4 linked regions of the Caenorhabditis elegans genome follow. The protein of the gene in region 1 interacts with the protein of each later gene in a pairwise test. Each region holds a gene or a part of one and is shown in the gene's direction. Other genes may lie near its edges.

Evidence for each region.
Region 2: the proteins of B0507.1 (region 1) and atp-3 interact in a two-hybrid assay, tested with the Caenorhabditis elegans proteins (one large-scale study listed by BioGRID).
Region 3: the proteins of B0507.1 (region 1) and alfa-1 interact in a two-hybrid assay, tested with the Caenorhabditis elegans proteins (one large-scale study listed by BioGRID).
Region 4: the proteins of B0507.1 (region 1) and sydn-1 interact in a two-hybrid assay, tested with the Caenorhabditis elegans proteins (one large-scale study listed by BioGRID).

Annotation. Positions count from the first base shown.
Region 1 is NC_003283.11:8,774,829-8,779,865, forward strand, and holds B0507.1 (EB domain-containing protein), read left to right. Parts: upstream 1-1,741; 5' UTR 1,742-1,756; exon of another isoform or gene 1,757-1,802; intron 1,803-1,816; 5' UTR 1,817-1,831; coding exon 1,832-2,008; intron 2,009-2,071; coding exon 2,072-2,291; intron 2,292-2,445; coding exon 2,446-2,931; intron 2,932-3,015; coding exon 3,016-3,440; intron 3,441-3,491; coding exon 3,492-3,855; intron 3,856-4,154; coding exon 4,155-4,330; 3' UTR 4,331-4,490; downstream 4,491-5,037. Other genes in the region: B0507.2 (BRO1 domain-containing protein BROX homolog), read left to right, coding at 31-979, 1,444-1,533.
Region 2 is NC_003279.8:5,428,239-5,431,700, reverse strand, and holds atp-3 (Oligomycin sensitivity conferral protein), read left to right. Parts: upstream 1-1,881; 5' UTR 1,882-1,894; coding exon 1,895-1,954; intron 1,955-2,077; coding exon 2,078-2,390; intron 2,391-2,434; coding exon 2,435-2,532; intron 2,533-2,708; coding exon 2,709-2,924; downstream 2,925-3,462. Other genes in the region: F27C1.2 (Copper transport protein), read right to left, coding at 546-658, 709-940, 996-1,123, 1,190-1,418, 1,466-1,534; utp-14 (Small-subunit processome), read left to right, coding at 3,261-3,412.
Region 3 is NC_003280.10:7,657,795-7,664,265, reverse strand, and holds alfa-1 (ALS/FTD Associated gene homolog), read left to right. Parts: upstream 1-1,977; 5' UTR 1,978-2,000; coding exon 2,001-2,045; exon of another isoform or gene 2,046-2,154; coding exon of another isoform or gene 2,155-2,190; intron 2,191-2,251; coding exon 2,252-2,515; intron 2,516-2,559; coding exon 2,560-3,043; intron 3,044-3,091; coding exon 3,092-3,389; intron 3,390-3,751; coding exon 3,752-3,983; intron 3,984-4,029; coding exon 4,030-4,140; intron 4,141-4,185; coding exon 4,186-4,428; intron 4,429-4,476; coding exon 4,477-4,679; intron 4,680-5,456; coding exon 5,457-5,781; 3' UTR 5,782-5,938; downstream 5,939-6,471. Other genes in the region: F18A1.7 (Chondroitin proteoglycan 4 domain-containing protein), read left to right, coding at 512-629, 677-979, 1,028-1,295, 1,346-1,457.
Region 4 is NC_003279.8:2,376,581-2,383,559, reverse strand, and holds sydn-1 (Synaptic defective enhancer 1), read left to right. Parts: upstream 1-1,708; coding exon 1,709-2,547; intron 2,548-3,854; coding exon 3,855-4,001; intron 4,002-4,052; coding exon 4,053-4,167; intron 4,168-5,783; coding exon 5,784-5,925; intron 5,926-5,977; coding exon 5,978-6,471; downstream 6,472-6,979. UniProt on the Caenorhabditis elegans protein: Acts as a negative regulator of nuclear pre-mRNA 3'-end processing (mRNA polyadenylation). Plays a role in tissue-specific expression of protein isoforms by regulating differential processing of pre-mRNA 3'-end (alternative polyadenylation).

The DNA of each region.
Region 1 (5,037 bases):
AAACATTATTTAAAGTACGCTCTTTATCAGGGAAAACAAGGACGCAGGCAACAAAAACAGCAAACTAATTCCACTGATCCGCTTCAAATGGGGTAACTCAATGCTTCCACAAGCCGCCACAGAAGTTTCGGATACTTGGTTTGAAGCTCTCAGTATGATTCAATGTATGGCAATGTGGCTCACAAAGCATGCTGCGTCGATGGCTGGAAAGGATGAGGTACGAGAATCTGATGCAAAGGAATGTCTTCAGTGTTTGAGACAAGCAGGTGGAATGTTCCAATATGTGAAAGATGAATCATCACGACTTTCCGGTGCCAATGAAGTTGAAGGCTCAGATTTTGATCCGAAAGTTATGGAAACGTATATTTTGACTGCCACAGCAGAAGCACAAGAGGTCATTGTAGCTAGAGCTATTGAAATGAAACATGATGATGGATTAATCTCATCGCTTGCTGCTGTAACTGCATCGATATTCTCAAAAGCTGATCAATGCCTGAATAATTTGCCTGATGAGAGTTTTGCGAGATGGAGAAGATATCTGCAATTGAAGCATCATTTCTATTTGGCGTATGCTTTTGCCTTCCTCGGACAGAAACAACTATCAGAGGATAAATGTGGAGAAGCTGTGAGAGCTTGTAAGCAAGGAATTGCTGAGTATGGAGTTGCTAAAGAAATGGCAGCAATGTATGCAACTGCAACTGGTCCTGGAACTCGTATCAAGCCTGAGCAACACTTGTTCTTCAGAAGAATCGAGCCATTGCTCAATCGACATTTGGAAAAAGCGGAGCGAGAAAATGGATTCATCTATCATCAAAAAGTTCCAGATGAGATTCCTCAATTGGATGTAGAAGCAACATATGGATTGGCTAAACTTGATTCGTTTACCTATCCTCCACCAGCGGAATCATGGAATACGGCAGTTTATTCCGCTTTTGATTTGTCCAAAGCAAATATGCCAGATTTTTCAAAAATTAAAAAGGTAGGCGCGTCGATTTTTTAAAAACTAAATTAAACTAATTACATAACAAATATTTTGAGTTCTGGAAAAACGTGTTTCAATTTGAAACGCTCAATTTTTATTTCCGTTCTTGCCTTCTAAAGTAAAAATTGGATATAAATTCAAAAACAGCAAATTCAAAAATTGAGCGTTTACCAAAAATACAATTTTGACAATAAAATCCGTTCAAAAAAAGCGAAAACATGCAATTTCCGTTAGTTTGATCTAAAAAAAACAACAGATAATTTGAACAGTATACGGATTTATCAAATGTTAACACATTTACAAGGAAATTTTTTTTCATTTTTCATTTCCAAAAAATCTAGGAAACATTCGAATTTGTCATACTAAAACTCCTTTAAATTTCTTCCTTAAAACATTCGACTTAAAAAATGCATTTATTAAAAAGAATAAAGCATTTAAACTGTTGTAATCACTAATTTCAGAGCAAGTCAAAGCTTGATCCAGTTCACGAGGAGAAAATCTACCAAACAGAAAAGGATCCCAGCAATTCCAGTGGATGTGTGATTGCCTAATAATTCGAGTCTTTGTACATTACTGTTCTTCACTATTTTATTTTTAAACATTTCCATTTCCCCTTACAACCATGCCCATTTGTATGCAATGTTTCCAATTTTAGCTGCACGCGTTCTCATTGATGCTGGATGATATACATAAAAATGTACATGTTGTTGACACGATTGAAGACAGTGACCAAATATAACGGTCAGTTGAGCATGCGGCTGAATCAACCAACAGGTGTGCCAACATTCAAAGGGCGGTCCTTTGGGGCAGATCGGATATAGCTGGAGATTTTAGTTTCAGTCAGTAGCAATGCGATCCCGTCGGCTAGTCATCCTGTCAATTTTGTTATTTCTCATTGGAGTTGTCAGCGCTAGAACAGCGTCTGGAAGAGGATGTACTCATTCAATGCAATGTGGTAGAGGATTCTTCTGTCAAGAAGGCGCTTGTAGGAAAGATTCGTGTTCCAATGATTTACAATGTGACGAGGTATCGTTTTTTTTTAACTTCTAAGTATTAAAATGCGCGGAGATTCATTTAAACGTATTCTAGGGTGAAGAGTGTCGCCCTGGCAATGTTAACGGACGACAGAAATCCGGATGCTTCAAGTCACTTGTCCCGAAATCGGCATTGGGAGGAACATCGGAAGATTTTTGTCCAGGAGGAGGTGCACTTGTCCTCTCTCCTACTGGAACTCTGACAATCTGCGATTTGACTGAAGACTGCCCATCAACTCACATCTGTAATCCAGTGCATGGAGTTTGTTGTACAAGTAAGAAATCGTATTGATTATAAAATTCTCGTTGGAAAAAAAAGGGACCACGTTTTCAATAAAACGTAAATATTTCAGGACATGGTTATTCATTTTGAAAAATTAAATGAGGATCCTCATTATCAAATTAACCGGTAAAATTTACATTCTTCAGAACTACCAACCTGTCCAAAAACTAAGAAAACCATGGTTAACTTCATAACTGGCAAACCTATTATGTGCCAATTCAAACAAGGAAGAGTAATGCCATGCCCTGAGAATGGTTTCTGTGAGACTACAACTGGATTCTGCTGCGTCCCAGGTGTAGATGTTGAGCCCCCAGTCGTCGTTACCCGTGCACCAGCAATCATTGAAAATGAACGTCCGTGGCGAGGACAAGTGTGCTCTCCACAATCTGGATGTTCTGGTGGAGCAGCTTGTATCTGTGGAGCCCGTGGAAATTGTATGTGTGAGTGTGCCACAGACTTTGGATACACACTTGCTTCCGATGGAAAAACTTGTCAAAGAGTTAGAAGACGTCTGAAAGAAAAGTGTAAGACTGATATGGAATGCTCTGCTGCATTTTCAGAATGCTCTTCAGGAGGATGTAGATGTAAGAGAGGTTTCAAGAGAAATGGTGATGGAGGTTGTGAACCCCTTGGTGAGTTTTTTTCAGCACAAATGTTTTTATCAATTAGATATCAATCAAACTTCATTGAAACTAGTTCATCTCAGAAAATTGCAGAGTACCGATGTGTCAACAAAGCAGCTCCCCTAAAACGAGATGAAAAGCTTATCACATGCTCTCTCAAAAACTCTCTTCTTTCGAGTGTCTCCACCAGTTTCAGAAGCCTGAAAAAGTCAGAAAATGGAAGTGATATTAACGATGCCGAATTTGAACGTCTAATGAAAGGAATTCAAAATGGAACTCTTTTGGATTTTGGAAATGAAAGAGATGATTGTCCAGATGAGCATTATTGTGTTCCTGTGTTCGATGATGCAAGTAAACCCGGTTATTATAAGGGATTTTGTTGTCCGTCTCCATCCGAAATTCGCCCAACATGCCCTGTGGGAGAACCACATGAATCGTCATATCCTCCAGACTATGGATGTAACAAATGTCCCGTAGATTATTACTGTCATAGGGATTCTGTAGCCACCGAGAAATCTGTATGGTTTTCAAAATCTCAAACCCCTTTGAAAGAATATCTAAAATTTCAGATTTGCTGTCCAAAGCCTTGTGTTTCACTCGAAGACATCTACCACGAAGGCCAGTGCTTTTCAATGGCGTACTATGGAGACAGCTGTCACATTTCGTCGCAATGCGTCTACTCAAAGAGTCCCGACGCCGCCGAAGAGTACGCTGAAGTTGCAAAAATGGAATGTGCCAGAAGTATTTGTTCGTGTCCAGCAGGTTTCAGTTATGCTGACGGACAGTGCAAAAGAATTATGTGCTCAATTGGCCTAAGAGGAGAACCATCAGTAGACAAGTCAGGGCAATTAATTCGTTGTGAGAGATCCAGTGATTGTAGTATGGGTCATATGTGTGATCCAAATACCCATGTTTGCTGCAAGGGAACTAACAGTAAGTGACTTCCAAGGAAATTTTATTTTGAAAAATTGTTCAATGCATTCCTTCTTGAAATCAGTATATGAATATCTGTTTCAGTTATCACAAGATTAACTAGCTTTGCAAAAGTGCAAACAATAATTAGAGTTATTTTATAATTCTGCTGCCACAACACCCTTATCAAATTACAAACTATAATCATAGAAAGCAGAAAACTAATGACATATTTTTGGGATTTTTCTGTAAATCCATAAATTGTTCTACCAATGTCTAAATTTTTAGAGATCTTCATTTTTATTGAATTATTACTTCAGGATGTCCAAAGGATTATGTTGAGACCGGAGAGCAATGCACAGATGACAATTGTCGTGGAATAAACCAAATCTGTCACCGAACCAAAAATGGCAAAGCCAAAATCTGTTGCACTTATGATGATGTGACAATGTCTGCCATGCGGGATGCCCTGAATTCAACAACAATGAATCTGTAAACTACATTCGCTTTGTAAAATCCCTTCTCTATATTGTTCACCCCTCGTTTTCCAACTCTTCTTGTTTGTACATTTTGGACGTGCTTCCCTTTTCTTTTTCCTCTTTTCACCAGTAGCCACCAACACCACCACCTCTTTAATAAATCCTTACATGACTCTCTTCTCGTCGTGTGCCATCCTCCACATTTGCTTCTTGTATCCTGTTGCTCTTCCTCATCGTCGTCATAGCGACTGGAGAGGATTCTGGAGAGAGGAAGCTGAAAAGGAGAGCGGACACACTTGGAAAATACGGATGAATGAGTAATCAGGGATGAATAGTGGATGAATGGCCAAGGGGAAGGCCAAAATGTCCTCTGTCTTTATCATGAATTCTTCTGAAGAAACCTGAAAAGCAGTGCTTCTAATAAACGGACCAATTCGTGACATGACCCTTAAAAATATTTTTCTGATGTTGTCGGTGGTGACATCTTCTCGGAACCCCCTGTGGCCGAGAGTGAATAAATTAGAGAAGAAGAAGACGAAGATGGCTTGTTGGAAGACGGGACGAAAACGAAAAAAAAAGAAGCGGAGGAGAGGAGGGCTTTTCGAATTCTGGAGCTCTTTTTCGCCTTCTCAACTACACACTCGTCATTTAGTGGTGAGGAGATGGAAATAGGGGGAATGAAGTCATCGTTTTGGTGGTCGTCGAGATGGAAGAAGAAGGCCAT
Region 2 (3,462 bases), on another chromosome or scaffold:
TTGCACGTTTTGAGATTTCAAAAATGATTACGATTTATTTTTCGAAATTCGAAATTTTATAACAAAACTTCAATATCAAATATAGCTTTTCAATCGCGACAAGACCTGATTCCGCTTCTTCAAACTATTTAGATGATCTTTTGTAAGGCTTATCACGTTGTTATTTAATACTTCCGATTGACTATTTGCATAACTTCTCACGAGGTGCAGTATCTTATCAGCTACAAGATTCAATCTTATGATAGAACAATAACAGGACAAATGTTCATTATCATTTACAACTTCAATAGGGCAAATAGAAATTCAATAATAAATAAATAAAATCAGAAAATTGACAGCTTGCTCTGAATTAGACACTTCTTCTGACTGAGATTCTGGTGATAAAAAGAGGCGGGATCCTAAGGTGCTCATCGACCCGCAGGAGAGAAACTAAGGTCGATTAGTGAGGAAATACATTTTAAAAGATAAATCAACTAATAAAGAGGAAAGATGAATTGATGATGTTTGGTGATTTGTTTGAGGATTGAGATTGGAGATCGCAATTATTAATGACACGCATCGGTTTGGAACGAATCCGTCACTTCTCCATCACAATTTCGGAGTTGGAGAACTGCAAACAGCCAATGTCCAAATCCTGCTCCTAATACCACCGCAGCAGCTGAAAAAATACACAGAATTATTGATTTAAAACTAGAAATTTGTACTTACTTAGATAAGTGTTGTAAGTCATCACAATGAGCATGAGCCAATAGGCGAGCACCAATTGAAAAATGTACAAGAGCATCTGAATGAGCCGTTGAGGAGAGAATGGCGAAGTTGCAGGGGTCCTCGCTACCGAAGCCGATATCAGGAACGGTTCAGATTGAGGCTTGTTGCTCTGTGAGTGGGTAACCGATTGATGGCAAGTGCCTCCAGAAGACCGCGTTGTCTGAAGTGCAAACTAGGTCGGATAAGATATTTTTTAATGAAACATAGAGAAATATAAAATTACTTACCTCCACGCATGATTTGTTGGCAAGAACCTGAGCTTGTGTTTGCGTCATTTGCAGAAATACACGGAACCACTTGACACCTTCATATGTGGCGCCCATAATGAAAATAGCAGCACACGATAAAAGCATACCTGAAGAGTTGTTAAAATTAACTAACAGTTAAGAAATAAACTTGAATTGAATAATGAAAATCTTACCGAAAAGTGAATCCGTCCTCCAAAAATCGAATAGAATAACTTCTTCAAATCCTCCATGGAACCACATTTTCATCATATGTCCCTCGTGTCCACCATGACCTGCGTGTGATCCATGAGACGAATGTTCATGATGTTCATTTTGATCTTTTTCATCGGGCACAGGAACCGCTTCTACTTCTTTTCCAGCGAGCTCATCGAGAAAGTTGTCTGCAGCTTGTGCGTAAGCACTCTGAAATGCTAAATGTTAGATTTTTGAAGCAACTATTAAAATTAAACCTTATTTTCTGCAGCAGCAACCACCAAAGCCACAGCCAACCATCCTAGGATGGCCAATTGTGTACCCATGATCTGAAAATATATGACGTAACATGAAAATCAATAAAAATTGCGTTTAATATGACTAGAAGTTATACAAGATAACAATTTCAACTGCAGCTTCAACATTTTGCGACCTTTTATACGCAACCTGTCATGAACATGCATTTTATCGAGATGGAAAGTTTGCAAACAAGAAAACTCCACAAAAAAAATTGTCTAAAAATTGCAGCACCAAATGCGCTCTACTGAACTGACAGCCGGTGATTTGGCTGCGTACCTTGGCTTATGGTTAAGAGAGTGATACTCAGCCAACGACCGCCCTTTTTCTCTTGAAATTAGCTTTCAGTTCTTTTTTATCGAATTTCAGTTAAGTTTTTGTACTATTTTATGCGAATTTTTATCCCAAGCAAGCCTCTTTACCTATATTTGACTATTCTTCACGAAAAAGTATGTAAAAATCCACTCTTTATTATTTTTTTCTTAATTAAATTTAAAAAGTTGTTTTAATTAATTCGTTTGCTTGCATACATTTATTAAATTTAAATTTTGCCTAATTTCTTAATTTTGCAGGTAATGGCGCAACTCATGAAACGCGGATTCTCCACGAGCGCTGCTCTCGCTAAGGCTCAGCTGGTGAAGACCCCGATTCAGGTTCATGGAGTCGAGGGACGTTACGCCGCCGCTCTTTACTCAGCCGGACACAAACAGAACAAGCTCGACCAGATTTCCACAGATCTGAACAATGTTCGCTCCGTGTACAAGGACAACAAGAAGTTCCAAGAGTTCGTCCTCGACCCAACTCTCAAGGCCAACAAGAAGAAGACCGCCATCGAGGCTATCTCAACTAAATTGGGGCTTACCAAAGAGACTGGAAACTTCCTTGGTATTTTGTTAACGTGTAATTACAAATTTAATTGTAACTTTCAGGACTTTTGGCTGAGAACGGACGTCTGAACAAGCTCGAGTCAGTTGTTTCTTCATTCGAATCCATCATGCGCGCTCACCGTGGAGAACTTTTCGTTCAGGTACTTTTATTATAACTGCCAAGAAAAACAATGTTTCTTTTGAAATTTGTTTTCGTAAAATTATAAAATATGAATAGCGAATGTTTTCAATACGTAGAAATGGAAATTTTCAAGTCTAAATTTTAATCCTGAAGATGCTCGTACGTACCGTTTTAAAAACTAAAAATCATTTTCAGGTCACCTCCGCCGAAGAATTGAGCTCATCAAACCAGAAGGCATTGTCTGATGCCCTTAGCAAGATCGGAAAGTCTGGACAAAAGCTCACGGTGACTTATGCCGTCAAGCCATCGATTCTTGGAGGACTTGTTGTCACTATCGGAGACAAGTACGTCGATCTGTCGATCGCTTCCCGTGTCAAGAAATACAAGGATGCCCTTGCCACCGCCATCTAAATTTTTCCCAAAAAATTTAGTTCCTCATCCCGATTTTCAATCTGTGCTTCAAACCAGTTCCCTGCCTCATCATACCCAATCATTGAAGATGGTGTTTTAAAGAGTTGTTTAGTAATCGGTTTTATGTATTGTCTTCATTTTCTAGTGGGTCATAACATCAGCAGTGTAATTGTTTGTTCCAGAATTTTAAGTTTCTTTATTGTACTCTCAACAAATAAATAAATAGATCTGTGAAAAATTTCAATTATATTGACCTCGTTCTGTCGGTTACCATTTACTTCTTAATAATGTTTTGAAAGAAAACAGAATAAAATTATAGAAATTTGAGAAACAGAAATGAGTGATGACTCGGATCTTGATGACGTTGCTCATCAGAAGCTTCTGCAATCAATTCACACACCTGGAACTGTAAAGAAAAATCGTCTGAAGAAAGCATCAAAAACAAAAACCGACGCAACTTCTCTTCTATCTCATCTTACAGTTTCAAGGTATTTGAAAAACAAATTTTTTTTTAAATTTAGGATTTTTGCAATTTTAC
Region 3 (6,471 bases), on another chromosome or scaffold:
ATTATGGCAGCGCAATATTGGAAGAGGGTTAAAATACTGAACAAAAACATTCTAAAAGTCAATACTTCGTCCAAACATGAAGATTTTCTGCAGGTTCTCAACAAAGCAATTCACATTTGAAAAAGAAAAAAATGAATGGCTCGGACCACCTGCGTAAATCTTGCCGGGTACGGTATTCGCTTCGAGACCTCCATCAAAACCGTAGTTTGGAAATTGTTTTTTCCCGCCGATCTAACTTTTCTATTGACGCGCTAAATTTTGAAATCAGAAAAGTCGCATAAAGAATTCGGATTTTGTTTTATTTTCATTTGTCAGTTTTGATAAATTTTCATTTTATAAATTATGTAAAGTTTCGGCTATATCAGTTACCCACTTCATTTCTACCTAGCTGTTCTTTTCCTTATATGACCTTCTTGAAAGCTTATAAAAGTTTTCGAAAGCTTTTAGACCACTTTCAAACTGCTTAATATCTAACCCCCATTTCGGAAAAAAAACTTCTACATAATTCCAGATGCGCCATCTCCATCTCGCCTTCTTCCTTCCCGCCATCTTTCTGTTCTTCTCGTGTGTAAATGGTGCCATCGAATCGGTACACGACGACAAAGATGTCGTGCCACACGAAGAACAAGGTAAAAAACTAGATTATTGTGTGCTTAAGATTAAAGTTTCACTTCAGCCCTCGACGTCGACACAATTTTCCGCGCTCTTGGAGTTCCATATTGCATGCGAAAGTGCATCGACCCGTTCATCAATTCTACGACGTCTCTGTGGAACATGAAGAATGTTGTACATCAAGCTCGCAAAGTCTGTGGTCATCATGCACAGGCTATCACTTGTCTGAAGAAAGAACAGTACTGTGATCACAACAAGCTCTTCGCAAAAGCCAGCAGCAGTGTTGAATATATGTGTGCCACAAAGCACGTTCTGTTTGAGCGAATGGAGTCGTGTCTCAACCCTGTCGTTGATGATATCATGTCAGGTAATTTTTTTTCTGAAAAATTGCCCACCATCAAAAAATCGTTTTCAGGCTGCGACAAAGAATGCTATGCTCGTTCAAACCTAACTGCTTTCGCTCAAGATTCTAACATTAAATTCGCTGCTACAGTTGGAGGTAATGTATTTATTGTTGCTGATCATCTTGGAGAACTTTGTAACTCTCTGCAATGTACTCTCCCATGTGTCACCAAGCGACTCAACAGCAAGTGTGCCTTGAGTGGATGGCTTAGTCTGGACATGCTTATGCAACCATTCGATGCCGTTTCTGTAATGGTTGATCAATTGTCACCAGCATTGAGGTTAGTTAGTGCGATCATTATTAAATATGCTATGTAACTAAACATTTCAGGGATGTCATCAGTAAGAAAATCGATAAAAGATGCCGTTTTGCAATTAACCCAACTCGTCTCAACCGCATTCGCAACGGCGATTTCAAGGCTTTTAACATGGATAACATTTGATCGCATCTCATTTCATGATTCCAGTACTCACTAAAACCCACGAATTGTAAATAATCACCCGACACAAATATGTTGATATATCGAATAAATAGTTGTAAACTGTAAACCGCTTTCAATAATCATTTTCTCAAACGCGGATGAAAGCCGAAAAAAATTCTCGTGACATTTTGTACAACTATCGAAGCTGAAATGGCCGAAATATCTGAATTTCGGCCGCGTGGTCGACAAAACAGCTGACAAGTTCAATTCATCGATCAATAATCGCATTTTGATGAGTCAATCTATTCCCTTCCATCGCTCTTCCATTGTGAACGCATTAAGTTAATGAGAGTGTAAGGATCGTGGAGACGGAGACGTAGAGACAGTTGTTAACCTACAGGAAAATTCTTTCGTTTGTTGCCTGTGTAAATACAGCAGTTTGCCTTGTTCTTTCCCTTCATTTATTTCAAGTTTTCCCTTCAAAAAGCTACTATTTCACAATCGATTTACACTTTCTCTAAGAAAACGACATAAATTGCAGAATTTTGTGTATAAATTTATCATATGGAAGCGGATGAATATTTTACCACATACGATGCGCTTAAAGACGTGAGTATCATTTCCTTTGTGTTCTTATCACATTGGCATCTTATCATTTATATATTGTGGCGAATAATATGAACATTTCCAATAGAATAGAAACTATAAATTTTCCAAAATGCACTCTGCCGCTGTTAAAAGACTGAAATTCAAGGTAGATTATACATATATAATTAGATAAAATAATTGAACGTTTCGAAATATGAATTTTTCAGCAACAAAAGAAAGATCACGCTGTACGAAGACTGCTGCCACTCAAAACGAGTGAAAACTGCGGAATAATGAAGATTGTTTGGTCGCAATTCGACTTTATGACTGGCCCGGAGCTGAAATTCGTCTGGGATGTGACACCTTCGACTTCAATTTCACCAGTAAATCTTTCTGGAGAGGATGGATCAATTGCAGATGCTGAAAGTTTAATGGATTCTTCAGGATCTAATCAATCGGTGTCTTTTGAAGAAATCGATGATCCATTAAAAGTGAGTTTATTCAGATAAAGCTATCAAATTTTTAATTTTTGCAGACAGAATTAACAATTCTCGATGGTTTGGATGCCAATTTAGTCGATTCATTTGCTGATTTCGATTTAATGAATGCTGGAGACTATAAATACAAAACACTCAAGTATTTGGATGAATATATGACTGAATCTGCTACAACAAGTACAAAAACATTGACAATGGATGATTCTCGTATTATGGAAAGTCCTGAAAGCAGTGGAAAATCATTAAGAGATGAAGGACTGGATCATTGTTGTGAAGGTAAATTCTTGGAAGATGAACGATTGGGAACCAGCTTTACACTTGCTTCTCCCTCTCCAAATGATACTGGCCATCTTGGGAAGCTGCTTGCAAGTAAATATCCAAATGAAGAAGATAGAGAACTCGCAGAGTATCTTCGAGATAAAATTGCATCCACCTCGACGCCAGCTCCGAACGTTGCGTGCGTGGCACATCTTACCGAACATTATGAACTTGACAGACTGTCGCCTATTAATAATGATGATGGTGAGTTTCAGATTTCTTTGATAATCTCAATGTTGTTTATAATTTCAGAACTCCGTCGATCTTGTGTTGATTCTGGAGTTGGTGTGTCAACTCATAGTGATTTATCTGCTTTGTGTCAAAGCCCTCCTTGTAAGAATCACATCAAAAAGTATGAAGATGCATTTGGAATGATGACATCGACTCCCAATTCAAATGTTTTTGAATTTCGAGAGGAAAGAGGTCATACAAAAACTCCACCACCGAGAGATATTTTCGATTTCTTCGATGATCAGATTGATTTTGGAGAATCATATGTAACAGATGAAGCTTTTGTTGCCAAATGTGTATTGGCTGAGCTTATTTGCAAGTAAGCTTATTAACCAGGCACAAAATATTGCCATTTTAGCAACAAAAATACGGTGTTCGGTCTCGACACTATATTTTTGTTAAATACGAAAACTTATGCTCCTTTAAAAATGTACTGTAATAACTCATGCTGCTGCGAATTTTTCATAGATTTTTCTATAAAAATACATTTTAATTGAAAAACTTAAGTGAAACAATAAGAAGGGAAACGTTTAAAAATCGTGAGAAAAAATTTAAATATTTAAAGGCGCACACCTTTTTTTCGCTTTTGACACAATTTTCGTGTCGAGACCGACTACCGTATTTTTGGCGCAAATATTGCAGTATTCTACAAAAAAAGTTTAGTAATTATTATGATTTCAGTGCCCCACATTCCCGATGTCCTCTACAACACAAGATGATTGTTTCACCCTCACGTCACTTATTAGTTGCGGCGTTTATTTTCTCAGTTCAAACAAAATCAGGATCAACTATTACATATGCCATATCATTCCTTATGTCACATCTTAAACAAGAATGGTATTTGGATCGACATTCATGGTTTGAGAGAATGGTTGGCGATTCTGTTCCAAAAATGAAAGCCTCATTATTTTCGGTTAGAATAGTAAATTATAGTCTTTCGACAATGCATCAAATTTTAGGAAGATTCTGATGATGTACTGGTTCGAGTGACTTCTGAACTTTCTCGCCTCTTGTCACTTCTTTCTGCACTCGAAAGATTTCCTCTTGTTTCTCTGGAACGACCTTTAATGGTAAGATTTACTCAACTACCACAAAAAAATGTAATTCGTTTTCAGATAAAGAACACACTATTCACGGATAGAGGAATTTCAATTTCCGAAAATCGACTTCTCGCAAAAGCGATTTCCGGATGCTTGCAAAGTCAGGGTCATACTGTAATTATTGGATCGGATCATGTTTTGGTTGCCAGACTCCTCTATACTCTTGCATTTTTTGTTCCTGAAGCACATCAATGGTGTTGTCTAAGAGCTTACCGACACAAGTATAATCCATATTTAAAATTACAAGGTGTACGAAGGGTATGTGAAACCATCAAATTATTTTATTTTAAAAAAACATTATTTCAGGCAGAACTCCCTTCAGTTATAATGAGCGGAACATCAAGCCCTTGGCCTATTTGTATCATCGACATTGATCGGTCAGCAGTGTGTATGTCAGCTTCATATCAAAAACATCGAATTTTACGAGCACGAAATGATTCTCGAGGGGTACGGTTGATTCTTGAACATGCAGGCGTGATGGTTTCGAAGAACACAAAAATTCCACAGATGTAAGTTTGTTTTTTTTTGAGAAAAAGAAAAAAAAAGATCAAGGTGCGCGGATTTAAAATTTACTGTAATTTGAAACTTTTTAATACTGCAGAATTTTCAAAATCAGATTTTTAAAATTTTTTGATAAAATTCTATTTACATTTAAAAAAACTCAAATATAACAATAATAATACCTCATTTTTGATAAATAGAAAAACTATGAAACATCTATGAAAACTTCGCAGCAATAAAAGTTTGAATTTACAGTACTATTTCAAGGCTCACACTTTTTCCATTCAACAAAAAATAGTCGTGTCGAGACCGTGTATCGTATTGTTGACAAAAAAACGAAATCTGGGAAGTACTGTAATAGTTAATAATTGAATTTTTAACAAATTCCTAGAAAACATTCGTATGTTGATTATATAAAAACGATCACTTATAAAAATATTCAATCAAATATATTTTGAGAATTTGAACATTTAGTGATTTTTTCACTTGATCTATTTCGTGAAAACTGTTTTTTAAGTTAAAAAAAACCTAGAAAAAAACCTAAAAAAGAGCAATTATTTGCAACTAGTTTTTAGTTGCGCAACTAAAAATGACAAATTTTAAAAATCAAAAAGTTAATTTACACCAACGATAAATATAATTTTCATAGGAAATTAAATATAATTTATTGATTTTTATAGCAGAAAAACATTACAATAGAAATTCGAAAATTATTGAAGATTCATTATATTTTTTATAAAACATTTAGGTAATTTATTCTCCAGAAAAAATTTTGATTATTCCAGAGAACTGTCACCTTGCCGAACTCTTGAATCAGTGAATACATTCCTAAAGCAAATGGATTTACTTCCAATGGAAGAATCAGTTCGTTCTGGATTCTGTACTCAAATAATGCTCTATTTCGATAATCTTGCCGCTGCATTCATTGCTTTTGTCCGTGATGCTAGTCGCCCCGGAAATGACGAAAAAGAGTGCGGAACACGATCCAAATCGTTCAGTTTAACTGAATGCCGAAAATCCCTGGATCTGACCAACGATGCTCTGTTCAACGCGGTTCTAGCGAGAGCCGAAATACTTCAGCCTGACATATCCGAATTTATTTACATGTAGAGCCAAAGTCCAAACCAGTCATGGATATTAAATACGAGATACTCTTTTTTTTTGCCTTCAGTTTCTGATGAATTTAGTTGCATTCCCCAATTTTTTGTTACACTTTTATTGAATTGCCTACCATTTTCCACGTGTGATGAATAAAAACTTTATAATCTTTTGTTTTTATTCTGGCAAACAGTTGAAAGAAAAATATGATGAATCAAGTTTATTTTTCAAATCTTGCAATATGAACCTCTCATCTATAAATATGTGCTCCTTCTCTCTTCAACGAATAATATTATTCAAAACTTGTGTTCCAATCTGTGCTTGTTGTTGCTGCTTCTGCTTGAATATGAGAAAATCATAATGACGACGAGAAGAGCAACCTTCCTTTTTTCCCCTCAAAATAAAATTACAATTCAGATTCCAAAAAGAAAAATGAATTTACAAATATTTTTTCAACTGATCTGTCAAGTGTTGATTGACGTAAAATATTTCATAGAAAATGCCACCAACCCCTCATTTAAAATAAGGAAAAGGTACCCATTAATTTATATTCAACATTTCTTTGAAAATTCGAATTCTCTAAGAAAACTCGGTAATTCATCAATATTTTGTGTTTTCTTTTACTTTTTTCTCATTTCATATATGTTGGTGTCAATGTATCATCATTTTCTTATTCTATAATTAGTTATCCTCCTCTTTTCA
Region 4 (6,979 bases), on another chromosome or scaffold:
ATATTTTCAATGTTTTTTTGTTTTGCAAATTTAACCAACATTTTTTTTTGAATTTTAAATTAAAAAAAAAATTTTTTTTAATGTTAAAAATTTTTCAAAAAATTTTTTTATTCAGGAGCGCCTTCTTCATCGCCCATCCGCCCGTCCAGAACAAAATAATTATCAAAAATAATGTTTTTTTCCCGATCGCTTTTTTTTCAATTCTAGCCCACCCACCCACGCATTTTTTGCAATTTTTTAAATACTTCCTACCCGAACAACCGTGCCTTTATCTCTGAAAATCTCCTCACTTTATATGTTTTGATTTTTCTCGAAAAATTCTTTCAATTCAATTCTGACGTGGTGTCAGAGTGTCTCATTTCGGCTTGATCTACGTTGATCTACAAAAAAAAGTGCGGGGAAATGGAGGCAGAGTTCTCAACTCATTTTGCAACAAAAAAAATTCCCGCATTTTTTGTAGATCAAACCGTAATGGGACAGCCTCTGGCACCACGTGTATTCTATTCTATGATCTTTTGAGCTATTCACACCAATTTACACATACAATTTTCGAATTTTGCATCTGAACTCCCTTACCTCATTGAATATAAAAATTATTTAACTTTTTTTTTTGGAAAATTTTTGTTTTTTTTTTCGGTTTTTTATCCGAATTTCTACTATTTTGGGTTTTAAAAATTTTAGTTTAAAGGTACAGTCAAACTTTTTTTTTCTTCAAATTTGGGCGGCAATTGCCGTTCGGCAAATCGCGGAAATTGCCGGTTTGCCGGAAATTTTCAATTTCGGTAATTTGCCGATTCGCCGGAATAATTCAATTCCGGCAATTTGACTATTTGCCGGAAATTTTCATTTTCGGCAAATTGCCGATTTGCCGGAGATGCTCAATTCTGGCAGTTTGCCGATTTGCCGGAAATTTAAATTCTGGTAGTTTGCCTATTTGCCGGAAATTTTCAATTTCGGCAAATTGTTGATTTGCCGGAAATTTCAATTTTCGATAATTTGCCGATTTGCCGGAAATGTTCAATTCCGGCAATTTGACTATTTGCCGGAAATTTTTAATTTCGGCAATTTCTCGATTTGCCGGAAATTTCAATTTTCGATAATTTGCCGATTTGCCGGTAATTTTTCTTTGTCGGCAACTTCTCGATTTGCCGGAAATGTTCAATTTTGGCAATTTGCCGAAAATGTTCAATTCTGGCAATTTGCCGATTATGCCGGAATTTTCAATTTCTGCAGTTTGCCGATTTGCCGGAGATGCTCAATTCTGGCAATTTGCCGGAAATTTCAATTCCGGCAAATGGCCGGTTTGTCGACTTGCCGATTTGCCGGAAATTCATTTTCTTTATTTTCGGGCTAAATTCTTCGGTTTATTTTGTTAACTTTTTCTTCTGTTATTTATAAAAAAATTTAAAAAAAATTTCCGCCAAATTGCCGGAATTGACCCTTTCTGGCAAATCGGCAAATCGCCAGAATTGAAAATTTTCTGGCAAGTCGACAAATTGCCGGAATTAAAAATTTCCGGCAAATTGTGCTTTTTCACATTTTTGATTTTTCAAAAATTAAAAAAAATTTTTTAGTTTTTTTACAGTCATATTCGGTCATTAGAGTCTATTTTCTGCCAAAAAAAAAAAAACAGAAAAATTTTTTTAAAATAAATAAATAAAATTTTTTCGACTCTCCTCCACCTATTATAACTTAATCTCATTCAGAAATGGGAGAACCTTCACCTAGTCGGCGTCGATCAATCACCTCAGGAATACCATGCCCGTCACCAACGAAACAAGTCCTACCGCCACCGCCACCAGAAGAATTGCACAATATTCTACGAAAACGGCCACGGAGCAGCGCCATTCCGACGACGAGCCAGACTCATGTGAGAGCTCCACGTAAGGAGACGGATGTTGTCGATCGGATTTGGCACGATATTGACGAGGAGCAACGAGAAAAGCTGGCTCGGCGGAAGGAAGAAGCCGCCAAGAGAAAAGAGCAACAGCCGGCTCAACACATCAGGGACTATTTGCCATTGACTGCGACAAATTTGAGGAATTTCCGGAATGAAGACTCGACGATCAGTGATTTTATACATCGGCAGGGGATGGTTGACAAGCTGCTCGGCTACAAAATGCTGCTGGGAAAAATGGAGAACTGCGGGACGCTGGGCTACGAGAAAATGAGCGAAGACGAGGTTCAGCAGCTCTCCAGGGAATGGCTCAAAAACTTTTTCCCTTCAGAGCAAGCCCACGTCGGCCCACGTACCCCACCGAGCCCCGCCGTCGATTCTGATGGTGGTAGTTATCCGAAACGGCCTCGTCGAGGCCCGAAAACTCCTCCCGGATCTCCTGGGCCTTCGATGGATCAGGCGGCCGTGAATCGACGGGAGCTCATCGAGCAACTTGCGAGAAATTTTGGAATTAGTTCGTATAAAGTGGAGGAGACACTTGGCACTGGGTTGGACAAGGCGCTTGAGGATTGCTCGAAAAAGTTGAAGAATGAGCTGATGGAGACGTTTAAGGATCAGCTGTTGAGCCAGATTGATCGGAAAACTAAAATGTATGAGAGTTGGAATATCAATGAATTAGAGAATCCTATGTGAAAAAAATGTCAAAAATCGATAATTTCCATGAAAAATCGATAATTTCTATCAAAAATCGATAATTTTTATTTCTGAAAAACTCGATTTTTGATATAAATTATCGATTTTTGATTAAAATTATCGATTTTTGATAGAAAATATCAAAAATCGATAATTTCCATGAAAAATCGATAATTTCTATCAAAAATCGATAATTTTTATTTCTGAAAAACTCGATTTTTGATATAAATTATCGATTTTTGATTAAAATTATCGATTTTTGATAGAAAATATCAAAAATCGATAATTTCCATGAAAAATCGATAAATTTCATCAAAAATCGATAATTTGAATTTTAAAAATATCGATTTTTGGTATAAAATATCGATTTTTGATTAAAATTATCGATTTTTGATAGGAATTAACAAAAATCGATAATTTCTATCTTCACCGAAAAATCAATATTTTATCGATTTTTATAAATTTTTTGCAATAAAAAAAATCTATATTTTATCGATTTTTATAAATTTTTTGCAATAAAAAAATCAATATTTTATCGATTTTTATAAATTTTTTCATTAAAAATTAATATTTTATCCTTTTTTTCAACAAAAAACTAATAATTTATAAATAGATTTTTCCAGAATAAAAATCGATTTTTAATCATTTTTTCTTTAAAAAAATCAATATTTTACCGATTTTTAATCTTTTTTTCAGAAAAATCAATATTTTATCCTCTTTTTTGTTCAACAAAAAAACTAATAATTTATAAATAGATTTTTCCAGAATAAAAATCGATTTTTAATCATTTTTTCTTTAAAAAAAATCAATATTTTTCCGATTTTTAATCTTTTTTTCAGAAAAATCAATATTTTATCCTCTTTTTTGTTCAACAAAAAAAAAATAATTTTCAGATTTTTCGAGGAAAAAAATCGATTTTTCTGAATTGTTTTTTGCGATTTTTCAACAAAAAAAAACAATGTTTTCTAGATTTTTTAAACAAAAAATATCGATTTTTAACAATTTTTTCAATTTAATGAACATTAATCAACATTGGTAACAAAATCAATATTTTATCGATTAAAAAAATTGATTTTTTATCAATTTTTTAAGAAAAAAAATAAATGTGTTATCGATTTTTTTTTCAAAAAATTAACACCACTGTCGATTTTTCTGAATTTCTTTTTTGCAATTTTTCGGGATCCCAGGGAATCGAAAAATCGAAAAATTTGTTCGATGAAACCCTCATTTAAGATATTCTTTTTAAAAAGATATTAATTTTCAGTCGGGACGATTTATCGGATCAAATGGAGCTGGTCTCGGATTGCTCACTATCACCAGATTTGATAAAAAAGGAAGAACCAGACGTTGTGTATCATATGGCAGTACCACCACCACCTATACCTCCACCAATTCAGCCACCTCCTTATTCGTAAATTTTTTCCAGAAAAATTATTTTTTATTAAAAAAAAAGTTTTTTCAGTTACTACCCAGTAGCTCCAGCTGCTGCTCCACAAGTCTACCATTATGCTCCACCACCGCCACCACCGCCCCCGCATCCCCAGCAGGGGTTATATCAGCAGAATATGATGGCCTATGTAGGTGTTTTGTGGAAGCCTGGAGGCCCGGTTTTTGGAAAAAAATTGGTTTTTTTTTCAGAAAAAATTTAAAAAAAAACAAAACATTTTGATTTTTTTCCCCGAAAAAAAAAATTCAAAAAAAAGTTTCAAAACACAAACAAAAAATTCTGAAAAAAAAAAAGACGAAAAATTTAGATTTTTCCAGTAAAAATTTAAAAAACCCCCTAAAATTTTAGATTTAAAAAAAATTAAAAAACGAAAAATTTCGATTTTTTAAAAGAATAAAATCTAAAAACGAATAATTAAAAAATTTAAAAAAAAACGATTTTTTCAGTAAAAAAAATATAAAAATGACTAAAATCAAAAAACGGAAAATTAGAATTTTTCAGAGAAAAAAAACGGATTTTTTCAGTAAAAAGATAAAAAAAGTGATACATTTTTGATTTGATAGAAAAAAATATCGAAAAACAAATTTGTTTCATTTTTTCAGAAATTGTCAAAAAACGACAAATTTTTGGTTTTTTCATTTAAAACTATTCAAAAAAAGTAACATTTTTGATTTATTTTTAAAAAAATCGAAAAACAAATTTTTCATTTTTTTTCCAGAAAAATCAAAAAACCAATTTTTAGAAAAATAGATCAAAAAACAAAGGTTTTTTTTGGTTTTTTCAAAAAAAAATTTTTTTTTTAAATCAAAAAACGAAAAATTCGAATTTTCAGAGAAAAAACGGCATTTTTCAGTAAAGAGATAAAAAAGTGATACATTTTTGATTTATCTAAAAAAAAAATCGAAAAACGAAAATTTTCGATTTTTTCAGAAAAATATTAAAAAAACGGAATTTTTTTAGTGAAAAGCTTTTTTTTTCCGAAAAATCACTTTTTTTTGAGAAAAAATACCGGAAAACGGAAAATCGAAAAACTAAAAATTTCGATTTCTCAGCAAAAAAAAACTCGATTTTTTTTGAAAGATTCCCCAAAATTTTGGTCATTTTTCTTATTTTTAGACGTTATTTGTTTTGTTATAAAGTTATTTGTTTTCTTTCAATTCTGAGAATGCGTACTGCACAACATATTTGACGCGCAACATATTAAAATATCTCGTGGCGAAAACTACAGTAATCCCTTGAATGACTACTGTAGTGTCGATTTACGGGATCTCGATTTTCGAAAATTTTAATATTCTATCGACAAATAAATTGTATTAATTCTTTTTGAAAAACGAGCCCGTAAATCGACCTACAGTAGTCATTTAATGGGTTACTGTAGTTTTCGCTACGAGATATTTTGCGCGTCAAATATGTTGTGCAATACGCATTCTCAGAATTTAATAGTCCCGTTATAAAAATTTGAATTTTTTTTCGATTTTCTTCAATTTTTCGGTTTTCCGAAGTCAAAGTGTCTCATTTTGGTTTGATCTACCTAGATCTTCAAAAAATGCGGGAGAAGAGACGCAGACTTTTCAACTGATTTCGCATGGTTAAAAACGTGCTGACGTCACATTTTCATGGGAGAAAATTCCCGCATTTTTTGTAGATCAAACAGCAATGAGACAGCCTGACGCCACGTGTGATCCTTGATCTGATCCTTGAAATCCTGGGATTCATCAATCAATTTAAGTCTACTTTCTCTTTCAGCCCCCACCTATGCAACATTTCAATGCTCCACCGCCCCCAATGGCTCCGTATCAGCACCAGGCTCCTCCATCAATCGTCCTTCCACCGGTGAACGTTCCACCTCCACCGATTGGCGTCCGAATTGATACTCCAATTCCTACTGGCAAGACATTCCGATGAGTCGGATCCCCAAATAAGAAGAATCATTATTTCAGCAGTGCTGCCGATTCCAACGATGGTTCCACCACCTCCACTGCCACCACCACAAGCTCCATTCTCTGGAGATTGCTGGCGAGCACAGCCAGCGGCTCCGGTTCCGGCCTCCGTGCCAGTCAGTTCGGCACCACCACCATCAGTGGTTGTTAATGTACAAAGTACTCTATTCTCTGCTCTCGGGCTTCATCACAAGCCTCCACCTCCTCCTCCTCCACCTCCTCCTCCGACAACTTCTTCTACTACTACATCTCACATTCCACCACCACCTCCTCCTCCGCTTCCGTTCTCTTCGGCTCCGCCACCACCGCCACCGCTTCCGATGGTCGCTGCTGGTCCGTCTCCGCCGAGCTTTGTTCCTCCTCCTCCGCCTCCGAATCCGAATCAGAATCCGTCTATCGTTTTGTCACCATCGGCGGTAACCGGAGGCGGCGGCTACCGGCATCGTGTCAATCAGTTTCCGCCGCAGCAGCAGCAGTCGTTCTCGAACTTTTGAATCCTTTCACGTGGTGTCAGAATGTCTCATTTTGGCTTGATCTACGTTGATCTACAAAAAATGCGGGAGAAGAGACGCAGAGTTCTCCACAGAGCGGCTTTTACTACGTGGCCTAGAAAAATCGAAAACTCGGCCAATGATTTATCTGGGATTTTTGACGTGGGATGTTTTTGAAACTTGACGAGAATACTCTCGAAAGGGGGTTCTATAGTTCCACCGTGGCGATTTTTGAGAAAATGTTCCGTATCGATGTTATGAAGGTGGCCGAGTTTTCTTATTTTACGGCCACGTAGTAAAAACCGCTCTGTGTCTCAACTGATTTCGCATGGTTAAGAACGTGCTGACGTCACATATTTTTGGACGGAAAATTCCCGCATTTTTTGTAGATCAAACCATGATGGGACAGCCTCCGGCACCACGTGTCCTTTCTCATTTGCCTCTCTGTGAAAAATCTGTGAATCTTGAACATATTTGAAATATCGATTTTTTTCTCTTCATTTCCTTGATT